2 linked regions of the Drosophila melanogaster genome follow. The protein of the gene in region 1 interacts with the protein of each later gene in a pairwise test. Each region holds a gene or a part of one and is shown in the gene's direction. Other genes may lie near its edges.

What was found.
Region 2: the proteins of Vlet (region 1) and Prx4 interact in a two-hybrid assay, tested with the Drosophila melanogaster proteins (one large-scale study listed by BioGRID).

Annotation. Positions count from the first base shown.
Region 1 is NC_004354.4:11,675,002-11,681,815, reverse strand, and holds Vlet (valette), read left to right. Parts: upstream 1-3,264; 5' UTR 3,265-3,381; coding exon 3,382-3,413; exon of another isoform or gene 3,414-3,466; coding exon 3,467-4,151; 3' UTR 4,152-4,472; downstream 4,473-6,814. Other genes in the region: bif (bifocal), read right to left, coding at 1-98, 702-963. UniProt on the Drosophila melanogaster protein: Scaffold protein in the commander complex that is essential for endosomal recycling of transmembrane cargos; the commander complex is composed of the CCC subcomplex and the retriever subcomplex.
Region 2 is NT_037436.4:3,038,928-3,046,294, forward strand, and holds Prx4 (peroxiredoxin 4), read left to right. Parts: upstream 1-3,431; 5' UTR 3,432-3,523; intron 3,524-3,622; exon of another isoform or gene 3,623-3,845; intron 3,846-4,117; 5' UTR 4,118-4,124; coding exon 4,125-4,278; intron 4,279-4,344; coding exon 4,345-4,462; intron 4,463-4,513; coding exon 4,514-4,919; intron 4,920-4,977; coding exon 4,978-5,028; 3' UTR 5,029-5,247; downstream 5,248-7,367. Other genes in the region: CG2162 (uncharacterized protein), read left to right, coding at 37-330, 399-588, 652-891, 1,000-1,049; scramb2 (scramblase 2), read right to left, coding at 5,919-5,942, 6,046-6,204, 6,796-7,289.

The DNA of each region.
Region 1 (6,814 bases):
ATTGGTATTGGAAATAGAAGATTTCTCAGACTTTTCCTCTGAACCGATCATGTTTCTCTTTTGACTAGTGCTACTGATTGTCGCCGGTTCTGTGAAATCTGTTAGAAAAAAAATTGAAGAAAGAAAGCAAATACAAATGTTATAAAGACAGAACATTAAAACATAACTTGGTTTTTTTTATCTTATTCGTCCGCAATCTGACAACTCTGTGAGCTATCGATAAGCGAATATCGTATCGATAAGCGAATATGTAAGGCGGCTAATTTAAAAGTATACTGGTATTGGAAATCGTAAAAGTTGGCAAAATGAATTAAAAACACTTGTTACCATTACTCATGGCTGGTTAACGCCAACTGAGCAATTGCAGATTGTGTAAGTCACAATTAGTCTTTCGCATTTTTCCAGTCAATATATTTCACCCTGATTACTATTTGCTACGGCAGTTTTTAAATATTTTAAAAACCTTTCCGAAGTCTATAGTTCGTTGAATTTATTTTAAGTACCGAACGGTATCATTTAAAAGGGATAAGTATGGAGCTCAAAAGTAAGTGCAATTATTTCGTTTGTCAAGAATGCAAGAAATAGCGATTAGAAATACGAATACTTGCACCTAACATGCCTTGACAGAAATGCTTGGCTTGAAAATACCTTTAATTTGCGTGTCAGGTGAAAGTATTCCAGTTTGTCCAACCACCACTCACCTGCAATTGCACCTGGAGCTGCGTTGGCTTCTGCCAAAGCCCCACAACTGCCATCGGTGGGCGAGGTGATGGACGCCGCCTGGGTGCGGGCCACGTTCGTTTTCCGGCGCTGGATGAGGTCCTTCTTCCACTGCGGCATGTCCGGCAGGAAACCGGAAGTGGGCGACATCTCAGCTGCAGCTCCCAGGCCAGATCCTCCAGCTGCTAATCCTGCTGGCACATCCGTGTGTAAGTCCAACGAAGGCCGCTTCTGTGACTCCATTATCCCCGTCTGCAATAGGCATTATTCGCAGCATTAATGCATGTCAGCCGTGTCCGCGGTGTCTGTATCGCAGTAGTATCCCCTATATAGTGTGGCACACTATCCAGCTCTACATCTCGACCCAAAGACCAAGTCTGGCGGACTGACTGGCCCGAAGCTGGTGCCAATTGCAAGTGCCCGGTGCCCAAGCTCCTCTACGAAGCAAAGAGGCGGGCATAGCCGACCCAAAAGATTGGCCAACCATGCAAATTATATCCAATTCAAGAAACTATCTCAAGATTCTCAGTTTACTCGACCAGTTTTCGAGATGAACCAATAAGTGAGGGTATAAATATATTCTAATAGACAAAAGTACTGTTTTTTCAATATATGTATATTACATGAGAAGGGGAGTAAATACTTTAATATACATTTAACAAAAAATAAGCTACGATAAACACAAGCTGAAAATGAAATATTTGTCATTGCAGCAATTATTTTCTGCTTATGTAGAAATTTTAATAACAAAGTCTAGATAAAAAATTGAATCATTTTTATAAAATCGCAGCCTGTAGAAATCTAAGTTAATAAATAATAATAATAGTTATGACTGTAAAACTCGCAGCTGTTAGCAGAAATTCTATTTCAACAAGTGTATGGTTCTATAATATATTTATAATTTAACATTTATCTTGGAAAATAAATAAGATGAATATCTTTTGAGTAGATAAAAGGTGATTTCGAATTCGTGGTGGCGATGGCATTTAGAGTTTTATTTTTCTTAATTGGATTAACTGCTGTTTTTACAGCCCGACAGCAAAACAAAACGTAAAACAAAGGTAAGAAGCGAAGAAACCCCAATATTTTTCCAGCATAAATATGCTAAACTGCCATAATGAGCGGAAAATGCGATAAAACCGAATATAGAGAGGAAAATAACGGAAAAGAAAAGCGGGGAAACTGAAACCAAACGATTCTTTTTATTGTTTGGCTAAAATTGATTGCATGGCTAGATTATTGCTGTTGGAATTGGAATTGTTTCTGTTTTTGCAGCTTTGCCTTTTGCATGCCGCGATAAAAAGTATTATTTTTAATTTCCCGTATCAGGCGTATGCATGTGTCTGTGTGTGTGTGTGTGTATGCATCACACGACTCCGCCGGAGAGAGTGTGAGTGTGTGCAAGGGTGGCTGAAAAGGGGAGAGCGATAAAAAGGGGCTGCAAAATGCAGACGAAGCATAAAATAAACAACCGACGACGCGCTATCGATTTTTACGGCATGCTGGAAGCACCAGCACACTGATACACACAGTTTGCAGAATAGGGAAATAAACTGGAAGTTATGCTATGCCAAATTGAGTTTTTTCAACAAAAATTCCTCGCAGAGAAACGCGAAACGAACTAGTGGAAGACTAAAGAGCCGGGTTTTGTTTATTTACACAGGAACAATACAATCGCACGCAGCCAAAGACACACATACGTATACCACATACACATGCATATATCCCGACGCACTGTTCCGTTAGTTTAGTTGGGGTTTTTGTTTTTCTCGGGCTTTCGCTGAAACCTTAGCTTGAAATCCTTACTTTTAAGATGCTGACTATTTTTTATAATCGGTGGTTGGTTTTGCTTCCAATTTTCCGATCCCGAGTTCCGTTTATCATCCGCTCCGCTGCGCCTGTTTACCCCGCTTTTACACTTTTCCGTTTCGCTGTAGCTCAACGAACTCGTCGCTCTCCTTGCTCCGCGCACTTGTCAAGCTTTCCCGACTGCAACTGCACTCGAACTCGGGGCGTGGGTGCACTCGCTGCGCCTTAAAAGTGCATCTTTCGCAGCCGAATCAGCGGAAAAATCTGCATTAAGTTAAGCCGCGTTTCCAATACACAAATACTGCTTATCGATTGTTGGCGCTATCGAGCGGAGCATCGATAGGCATCAGCGGAGTTGCCAGGTAGGACGATTATATTAATGAGTTGGAAAACTATTCGTACTTGATAATCTTCTACAAATTGAATCGTCGATCGTCGGTGCCGTCGACAATCTGGTATTGATATTTGCTGGTGCGGCTTTTTTTCACGAATTTTATTTTGCAGGAAACATAACAGCAAATATTATTTAAAACATTGTAATTTTATAAGGTAAATTATTCAGGCCTAAATACAGAAAAATAAATTAATTTAATAAAACATTTAAATCTAAAAAATTAATAAAGAATATGTTTAAAATCACATCGCAAAATGTAATATTTTTGTATTTTAGTCAGCACTTACCGTTATTATTGGCAGTAGTAACTGTGTGGCAGCACCGCACCGTGGCAAGTCGATAGTTTTTTGTATATTGTTGGTCTGTATAAACAAATAATATTAAAGTCATAATAAAAGAAGTGCTGGTAAAGACTTAATAACTCTATGTTCCTTAAAAATTTTTAAATATATCTCACAATGAGCATTAACTGGATAAAGATCACGGAAAGGTATGTAATATCAATGTTCTTATAGAGATTAATTTCTTGCATTTATATCTTAGAGCCCGTGAGGGCATCAAAATCATCAATGCCTTGCCCTACGAGACCTTTACGACGGTTCTGTTCTACACCCACCGGCAGATGAGTCCCAGCGTAGCATCGGCGAGTGCCACCAGTAGTACAGTGGGCACCAGTGTGACGACCACCGGCCGGGTGGACAGCAGCACCGAGGAGAACCCCACAAGTAACACCGAACCGGAGTACACACTCGAGGAACTGGAGCGATTGGTGGGCGTACCGCGTCAGGACTTCCTGCTGCTGATCAAGACCTTCTCCTACATCCTGCGTCGCATCTCCACGTTTATCATCAAGCCAAGTTTGCTGCAGCGTGAGCTGCGCGAGAAACTCCAGCTGGAGGATGAGGCCAAGATCGATGCCATATTGCGTTTGTGGGTGCGCGAAACGACGCCCATTATGAACAATTTGGCCAGCAAGCGGTACGAATCAAATGTCATCGAAGATGTGGCCTGGAAGCTCAACATGGAGATCTCCTCGCATTGCCAGCAGCGGGAGAAGACCCCGCTGGCCGTGCTCCAAATGAAAACGGCCGTCGGCGAGGATATCAACATCGAAATGACACAACCGGAACTAATGGAACTGTACAATCAGTTCGAGAGCATCCAGGGCGAACTGGACGCCATGCTGGCCATGAAGACTACAGGAGCAACGGCGCCTGGCAATCAGTAGTGGGACGCCATCGACCAATTCCAGTGCCAATTTTATTGTTGATTCACACAAAACTCTGTGCAAAAAGATGGACCTAAAAGTATGCAATACTAACACGATCGTAGCCAAATGTTAAACACGTTTTTTTTTGTTTAATTCAGTAGGGTTTTTCCTATGTTCTGGCTAATTTTCCGAACGTAGCCAAATTTTTACTAGAGTAAGAGTTCGGCTTTGATTTATAAAACGTTGCAATGATTAGGATCTTCCAAACAGGACTAGTTTTTAAGTTTTAGAACTTACCCTCTGCAAAATAATAAATCCTTTAATAAATTTAGATAAAACAATGTGTGGCACATTTTACAGTACACTTTAATGGATCTCTGCATGCGTTTTACTCGTCTGCTCCACCTCGGATCATAATTCTACTGATAAACATTACAAATTATTACAATGATATATATTTAATATATGTCTATATTGTATATGCATATGTTATTCATCGGCCTTAGTATGCGTGTGTGTGTGTATAATGGAGTCGTATATTATGTATGCATTATACAGACTTTCTAGTTTCATCTTCTCAAACTTTTGCATAATTATGCATATGTATTTATTGTTATTACGGGAGGGCGGGGATTTTGGGTTGCTTCGTATTCAAATTAGGGGCTTCGTTGTATTTTTCACTAATCTAGAAGCAAAACGATTTCTATTGCACTCTTTCACAGTTCGGTTAATCATTTCAACTAAGTTTGGACAAAATACAAATGTATGCAAATTATTTGGACTACAATTTTCATTAAAATGTATTGCTATTGTTACATTTAGTTGTCGTGTGTGTAGGTGTTGTTATCATTTTTCCTTTTTTGCTTTGGCACCGGCTCCATTAACTAGCCCTTAACTTGGTTGTTAGTTAGTCTTCAGTTTGCGTGGGATTCTGTTTAATTATATTGGTTTTTCGTGTAAATGATTATCGCCTTTCGAAATGCGTTGGTCATTTGTTCCTGTTGTTCTATTTGTGCTGTCTGTTTTTGAGTTGTGTTTCCATATGCACTTCATTTCAATTTTGTATAAATAAACCAATAAATAAGTTCTTTCGGGTTAGAAAATTTAAATGATCATTTACGCAAGCACTTAGAATCGAGCTAGGATAAATAAAATTACACAGTGTTAAACTATTTAATATATACAACAATTTTATCGATTCAAGCTTGCTGAATTTCCTTTCGCTGTGAGTAACATCGCATGCCGATTAAATCAAGTGAATATGGAAACACGACTCTTTTCTCATTGTGTGTTTATGTTTAAACATTAACTTCGGTGTTTTTCATTACTTTCTGCTGATTGGATTGATCACCAGAGCCCGCTGTATTTGACCTATATAAGTAATAAGTGTGAGCGCCACGTTCAAATGAGGAGAATGCAAGGTGGTGTTCGATTTTTTAAATAAAAACTTGATATAATTAAACAAAAATCAATGTAGCACATACATACACAGTTTACGCTTTGTAAAAAGTTACAAAAAATTTAAACACAAAACAGACATAAAAAAAAAAATAATACGAGAAACTAAAAATTGTACACTACATCTCCGACGGTTGCAGCAAAATGTTTTAACATTTGTTTAAAACTATGTAACTCAATTATTGCATTGTGTTTTTGTGTGAGTGTATGAGTGTGTGCGATTTATAGTTAGTTTAGTTTAGATCTAATATTAGGTATATGTTTATCAAGTATTTATATATATAATAATATAAAAAAGTAAACATTTAGCGCTTTTAGTTTGCTACAAAAATTTGCTCGTCTCGCTCACATATTTCAACTAACATTAGGTGTACAAAAAAATTGGAAGATATATAGTTTATATCAAATTGTGGCTAGCGTAAAAATACAATCAGTATTCCAGTATTTAGTATTGCCGTCGGTTTGAAGCGGCAATTGCGGTTACATTGTACGCCGATTCCTCGTTATCTTAGATATATATATCTTTATATATATATAAAATGTATAAATTGATGCGTGTTCGTTCTGTTTGGCGAGATTGCTGCATTCCCATTCGATAGATCGCGGTGTAGAGTATATATATATATATATATCCAGTAGTATCCAGTGTAGTACACATATATCCAAGTATAATATCAAGCGTTGATCCTCCTCCGCGCTCTCTTCGCACTTCGTCCCTTAAGTAAATAATAATGTAGTTGCCACAAGATGGTTGGGTTCTGTTGGGTTGGGTTGGGTTTCCATTCGGTTGAGTTGAGTTCAGTTGCTTGGTTGGCTGGCTGGCTGGCTTGGATTGGCTGGAGTATTGGGTTTTGGAATGGCTTTACATGCCCGACTCTGCAATGCCCTCGTCATCTGAAAGAGAGTCAAAATGGCACGGTTAGAATTGTACGATGAGTACAAAGCAAAAGCTTAGCACATGCACGGGGTTAGAAAACCATAAAGGTGGCATACAATAAATGAAAGTAACAAGTAATCATGCAGGTAAATAAAAACAATCAGGAAATATACAAAACATCTACGGAATGTGGCCATAGTGCGTTTCACGGTGAAAACTTTCAATTTAACTACACAAATGACATATATTTACAAATATATTGTTTTGCCCATGAAATGCACCTGGATCCACTCCTCGGGATTTGCGTAAGTATCTACAAACCCATAAACGGATTGGCATAGATGAT
Region 2 (7,367 bases), on another chromosome or scaffold:
AGCGAAATGTTTTAACTAACTTCCAAACGATTGCAGGAAATCAATCGCAGCAATCGGCGCATCATGAAACAAACCTTCAACTCAGATGTGCTGGAGATTCCCGAGAAAATAGAGACATCGGCAACAAAGGCCATCCCCACATCCCCGCAAGCATCAGCCACAGCGAAACCACCTGTAGACAGCACCACCGAAGACGATGACGAGGAGGACGAGGACGACTGGGAGAAGATGTTCGACGAGAGCGGCGACTGTCTGGATCCCAAGTTACTCCAAGAACTGACTGAATCCGTGGGCAAGTGCAAAATAGAGCTGCCCAAAATGGACTATACGGTAAGTAGATATAACTGGTTAACCAGCATCATCATCAAATTAAACACTCTGTTCCACAATTCGTACAGGTCTTTCACATTAAACAACAACTGCTCAACGAAGAGGAATTTCCGCACGTTCTGGAGGTGTCCAATTTCCCAGTGGAGTTCAAAACTCCCGACCTGCTCATGCTTTTCGCCCAGTACAGGGGCAGTGGTTTCGACATCAAGTGGGTAGACGATACCCATGCCCTGGCTGTGTTCAGCAGTTCCCGCATTGGTGAGTGCCTACAAATGCAACCGGAGATTGGTTCGGTAATGAAATAGAACGTTTCCTCCGCAGCTGCTGAGGTGCTGACGATGGGGCATCCGTTTGTCAAGTTGAAGCCACTTGCGGAAGCCACTCTGGAGTCACGACTGAAGGCAAAGAAGGCCGGCGCGGTGTCAATGCAGCCCTATCGCCAGCGTCCGGAAACCTGCACGGCCTTGGCCCGACGACTGGTATCGGGTGCACTGGGAGTCAAGCTGCCCACGGCGCCGCAGGAACGGGAGAACGAGAGGCGGGTACTACGTGAAGCCAAAGGTGAGTGCGGGCCATGTAACTAAACTGGGTCAAGGATATACTTGATTTGGAATCATTGGCGCTGCCTTCCCTTGGTCTTTTATTAATCTGCCTTATCTTTTTATTCAGAACGCAAACTGCTAGCTGCCAAACAGCGGGACGAAGTCTGGGAGAGCTAGACCGCGGCCCGGAAGAAGGCCAGGTGCATTTTTCTCACCCTTTTCTCATCTGCAATAAATGCGGCAGCAAACACAACACCATGTGGATCGACAACAAGAAACACCACCATTAACGCCCACAAAAACAATTCTCAATCAAAGCTAACACAGTAAATGAGTAATTCGCATGCTAAGCAATGTACTTTTAATGTTCGCTTTTTGTGAAATTAACACAGACTTTTGCTCAATTTGTTGTAGTTTTTAGAGGATGCAATGCATATTATATCATCTAGGCCGTAAGAGAGAAATATCTATATTTATTGGTCGTAGCAATTAAACGTGCAGAGAGACGCGTGTACGTGTTGTTTTAACTCCAGCCGTAAACCTAATTTTTAAGCGCGAGCAATTTATATATTGATATACAGTTTGTCAAGAAACTGTTTACACACTGTGAAATAAGTTGAATTTTTGACTTTAAAGCTAAAAATAAAGGGTTTTTTGCTTAATTAAACGCAATTTTTTTATAAAATATAATTAAACAATATTTATTTTACTTATAAATCAAAAAACAAATTAAAAATATTAAATATACAAGAAAATAAACAACAAATTCCAAGTTTACACACTTTTGAGACTGTCAAGAAACTCTTTACACAAAACACTAAATCGAAGTTTAATCCTAAATTTTTTAATTATTTTATTAAAATTTTAAAAGTTTTGGTATGTAGTATGTTCCCCATTGGCTTTAGCTACAAGTTGAAGCCTTTTTTTCATGGATTGGACAAGTTTTTGCAGGTCATATTCAAACGGGATCTTTTCACACTCTTCGACTATTACAGTCATAAGCTGTTGTTGTGTTTTAGGTCCCTTTTTGCCACCTTCTTCTTTAAGTAGGTCCACAAATTTTCAATGGGGTTCAGATCAGGACTCTGAGGGGGCGTATCGATCACTTTACCACAGTTATTAAGGCGCCAGGTGCGTACATTGCACTCTTTATGTTTCTGATCATGTCCTGGTAAAACTTAAGATTTGGCTTGTTGTTGCTAACTAGACCGAATTTTTCTGCACTGGCCTTCAAATTTGTTTTTTAACATTTCTAGATATTGCACGGCAGTTATTGTGCTCTCAATTAAGGCTAGTTTTCCCACTCCACGGCTGGTGATACAGCCCCAAACCATCAGTGACATTTTTCCAAATTTTATCGTTGGAATGATATTTTGTTTTTCTAGCGCACTCAACGGTTTGCGCCATACTCTGCTTGGCCCGTCGTTATAAAAGAGCATCATTTTTGTTTCGTCACAAAATATGACGTCATCCCAGTACTCTTCCGCATGATCCATCATGCTCACAGCGAATTAATGACGCTTTTCCATATTGGCATCTGATAGCAAAGGGTTTTTCCTTGCAAATCTTGAAGAGTACCTATGGCGTAGGATGACTTGGCGCACAGTTTCGTGTGACACAGTTAGGTGGCATTCTTGCCTGATATCCAGAGCAAGTGATCTGACCGAGATTCGGGGGTTCGCAATCACTATTCGCATAATAAAGCGGTCTACACGCTTTTTAATTTTAATTTTCCGCCCACCACCGCTCTTAGGTTCAAGCCTGCCCTCTTTTTCCGAGCCTTTTAAAACATTGTAGACGGTCTTACGGGATACAGGAAACATTTATACTAATTCTGGAAAAGATTTTCCCAACTGGTGGTTATAGTTTATTAATTGGGTAACTTCAAAAGTTAATCTCTTTCCAGGCATTTTATTAAATTTAATAATTCGCTTTAAGCACGTTTGATCAGCAAAATTTCACAAGCAAAGTCAACAAAATTTCAATAGAAGCGTTGTAAAAAGCAATGCAAAGCCAAAAATAACGGAAAAATCGAGTTCGTTCTAAGAAAAAGAACAAAACAAAGTAGGAAAACAAAATGTGTAAAGAGTTTCTTGACAGTCTCAAAAGTGTGTAAACTTGGAATTTGTTGTTTATTTTCTTGTATATTTAATATTTTTAATTTGTTTTTTGATTTATAAGTAAAATAAATATTGTTTAATTATATTTTATAAAAAAATTGCGTTTAATTAAGCAAAAAACCCTTTATTTTTAGCTTTAAAGTCAAAAATTCAACTTATTTCACAGTGTGTAAACAGTTTCTTGACAAACTGTATATATTTTAATAAAGTTTATAGCGTAAGTAAAAGTTAACTGAGAAAGTGTTTTTTACTTAAAAAAAATTGGATAGATCATAGCATGGCCATACATCGCTTTTGATTCGCCAATGCAGCACAGATATTTTTTCTAAAATAATATTCTTTCAAAATTGCAGTTACGCGTTAATATGAAATGAAAATTCAAATATTTCATAATGAAATTTATGTTGGCAATGCTGAACTATGCATTGGTGTCGGAACGACAGTATGGTATTTTTGCGTATTACGGTCACACCAATGCCGGCAGAACAATTTGTTATTAAAACAAAAAGAGTTAATTATAGCGCTTAAAAGGTAACAGCTGTGCGTTTGCATTGTTGCTTAATGCAAGCAAGTTAACTACCCTGCAACTAAAAATAAATATTCAAATCGGAGCTAGGCAATCGCATTGGCATTGGAATTTTAGTAGTTTTGTAAACTATATTTGTTTAAATCGGTTACACGCTGACAACTATAAATTATAATAGCAGTGAAGTGAATGAAATTGATAAGCTTATCTTTTCGGAAGCGCAGCAACAATAAGCGCGTTCCACCAAAATCAATTGAAGTTCTGCCCGTTGAAATAGTTACTTTTTTGACTGCGTGGCTACAAGTTGTGGGCGTGTTCGAATTTTGGGTATGTGCGTACAGTAGAGACTGGCTGACACGGACGGAACAAGGATTTAGTACATAGAAGGAGTATCTTTTCTTTGAAGTTTAGTTTTGTTCCTAATTAACATTCAAAATTATATATCTTTACATAATTTACAAAATTAAAGATAGTTGGGCGACCACTGTACACAGATTTATTATAAATATAAAGAGCGGCAATAATTGTAAAGGCCGCGTGTAATAAATAGCGTATAAACCGAATCCAATAGCCATATACGTACGTGGATCTCGTTTCAGCCCAATCATGTCCAAGTACTTATCTGTCCTACTGCTGTCCGCGGCACTCGTTGGAGCTGCCAAGCCGGAAGATAATGAATCGTGCTATTCCTTCGCCGGCGGCTCCGTTTATCCCGACCAGCCGAAGGGCGACCATCAGCTGCAGTACACCAAGGCAGTCAGTGAGTTCCATTGGATGCAAAAAACCAGGGATCACTATTAAGTTGCTGCTACCCTTATTTCCCCAGTTTCCAAGCCAGCTCCGCAGTTCGAGGGCACCGCCGTGGTTAATAAGGAGATTGTGAAGCTATCATTGTCCCAGTATCTAGGGAAATATGTGGTGCTACTCTTCTACCCACTGGACTTGTAAGTTTACATTTACATTTAGTATGATCGCATTTCTCATTGCCATTTTAGCACCTTTGTATGCCCAACGGAGATCATTGCCTTCTCCGACCGCATCGCCGAGTTCAAGAAGATCAAGACCGAGGTGATTGGCGTCAGCGTGGACTCGCACTTCACCCACTTGGCCTGGATAAACACGCCGCGCAAGGAGGGCGGCCTGGGCGACGTGAAGATCCCACTGCTCTCCGATCTAACGCATAAGATCAGCAAGGACTACGGAGTCTACTTGGAGTCCAGCGGTCATGCGCTGCGCGGTCTCTTCATTATCGATCAGACCGGAGTGCTGCGACAGATCACCATGAATGATTTGCCCGTGGGACGCTCTGTGGACGAGACTATTCGTCTGGTTCAGGCCTTCCAGTATACGGACACCCATGGAGAGGTTTGCCCAGCAGGTTGGCGGCCAGGTGCCGATACGGTAGGTTTTTTGAAGCATTGCCTTAGGTAAATTCTTTTTGATACCATTACCTTTACAGATCGTTCCCAATCCTGAGGAGAAGACGAAGTACTTTGCCAAGAACAACTAGGGACAGATAGAGATGCACATTACCTTAGTAGCCTAGCCCAGTTACATTCCTAATGTTCACGACTGAATCACGATGCAAACGAACAATCGCTAGAGTCCTCTGTACAGAAAATCCAAATCCGCAATGCCACCGATTGTGAATATTTCGCATTTGCTTTGTACAAAACATAGTTTGTTTATTTTACAGCATAACTGAGATATAAATAAATTCATGAAGTACATGTGAAGGTGATGAAAATTGCGCGGCGCCACAGGAGCGGTACCAAAAAGGAGGAGATGTTTTCGATCTCAAAATGCCTTGAAAGCTGGCTCACTAGGCCACTCTAATGGGTAACAATTCGATTGCAATTAGTTTCATACAAAAATATATGTAATATGTAATATGTAGTAGGTAAAAGGTAATAGTAAATTAGTTAGGTACGCCATGGTTGCAATTAAGTTATCCTGTGCTCCGACCTATGCGTACAACAAAGCTAGGTCTGTCGAGGTATATAAATCTGGGGAAACGGGACGGGGGCGACGACAATAACTAGGACGTCATAAGGCACTCGTTCTCGTCGGATTCTTCGTGTGTAGTCTGCTTTCTGTTTTCCGTTTTGTGCGTTTGTCAGTAAGTGCTTCATTGTGGTGAGCTTTAAATGCCAAAACCGAGGTTCATAAAATAACGAAGGTGCAACTGCGGTTCAGATCCAAGTTGTGCGGGAGATTCCTTTGCTGCGGAGATTCCGTATCGATCAAAGCGTTGCACTGTTCAGATTCCCGGAAACGTTAATCAAATAAGGGGTTAAAAAGTTCTTAGAGCTATGACCATGCAACACGTCGAACCAAAAAGCAGTCGGCGATTATAATGTTTGGGCGTTTGTTCCTTTAGAATGCGATTCATCATACAGCCTACTGCTCGTAGTAAACCGCGTCCTGGAATTAAGACAAACACAAATCAATGAAGGGAAACGAGTATATAGCACTGGCATATGCTTTATTTCACTCAGTGATATATATGATATACTGATATACTCACAATCAAAAAGAGCGCTGCGAATATGAGCGCCTTCATGCGGACATCCAGATTCAGGGGGAAGGTGACGCTGAAGTAGTCCGCATCGGTGAACAGCTCCCTTCCCAGTCCGGACCATTGTTTGCTGATTTTGCCGATCTCCTCGTTGTTGGCGCTCAATACCTGTGCGCGGTTAAAGGGGCGAGAGATGTTTGCGTTTCGCATTAATCGGTTCGCAGTTCGCGGCATCGCAATTAATTGACTCGCTCTGGACAGTCAGGCATGGCTAACCATGACGTCACTGCCTCGGACTGCAGTCTCTTTGCTTCTGTACGATCACAGCAGCGGTCAGTAAAAGGGCTCATAGATCGGCACAAACACTTGGTGCATTTTAGCCATAAAAAGTATAAATTGATTGATTGATTTTCCTATATCTAGAGGCATCTGTTAAATAACGTATACAATTGAAAATTTAAAACTAGTGTGGGTGCTATTAATTTGAACGCTTCTGTCTGTTCATAATTATTTAGAATATATGTATATAGGCACTTATAAATGTTTAATAATTAAAAAAGCAATTAAGTGGACGCCTGATACTGTTCATTTTGGAATTTTATAAAGCTTCGTCTTTGACTGATGAAGACCATACATATGTACTCCTCCGAAGAATTTAAAGCTAATCCGCTGACCGCTGCTGTGTGTGTATACACTTGTTTGGGCATTGGGAATCGAGATCGAGAGCCAAGAATAACCACTTGTTGGCTGCGTACTGACCTTGAAGTTGGTATCGCTGAAGCACTTGCAGGGACAGACGGGTCCCTCGATCTGCAGGACGGTATCGCCGCATGTGTTCTTGATGTTGAACTTGGGCCGCATGAAGGTGCAGACCTGCTCAACGCTACCGATCACCTGGCCGGGTGGCGCCGACACCTCCACGGCGTTCATGCAGCTGGGAAAGCAGCAGAGGATGTCGCACTTGAAGGGCCGGTACAGGTGGAGCACCTCGTTCTGAAAATTGTCCAGTATCTTCATCTCGAAGGGGCGCGACCGGCCGAGCATGTTGCGGGTGCAGCAGTCGCTCTCCTCGTACGCGAAGTACACATTCTGGCCCAGTGAGTTCTTCACCTTGAAGCGGTTCTTCGTCTCGAAGCCGGTGAGCAGCTCCAGTTTCTCGATCTTCTGCGACACGAGCAACTGGTCCAGAGCGGTCAGGTATTCCAGTCCCTGCGGGCAGTTGGGCATGCCCACGGGTATCGACATCCAGTTTTCTGCAATGGGGCGTTGTTCCGGATTAGCTCCCTATGTATTTATATTTATCTATATGCATAAAGTGCTTTTCCGATATC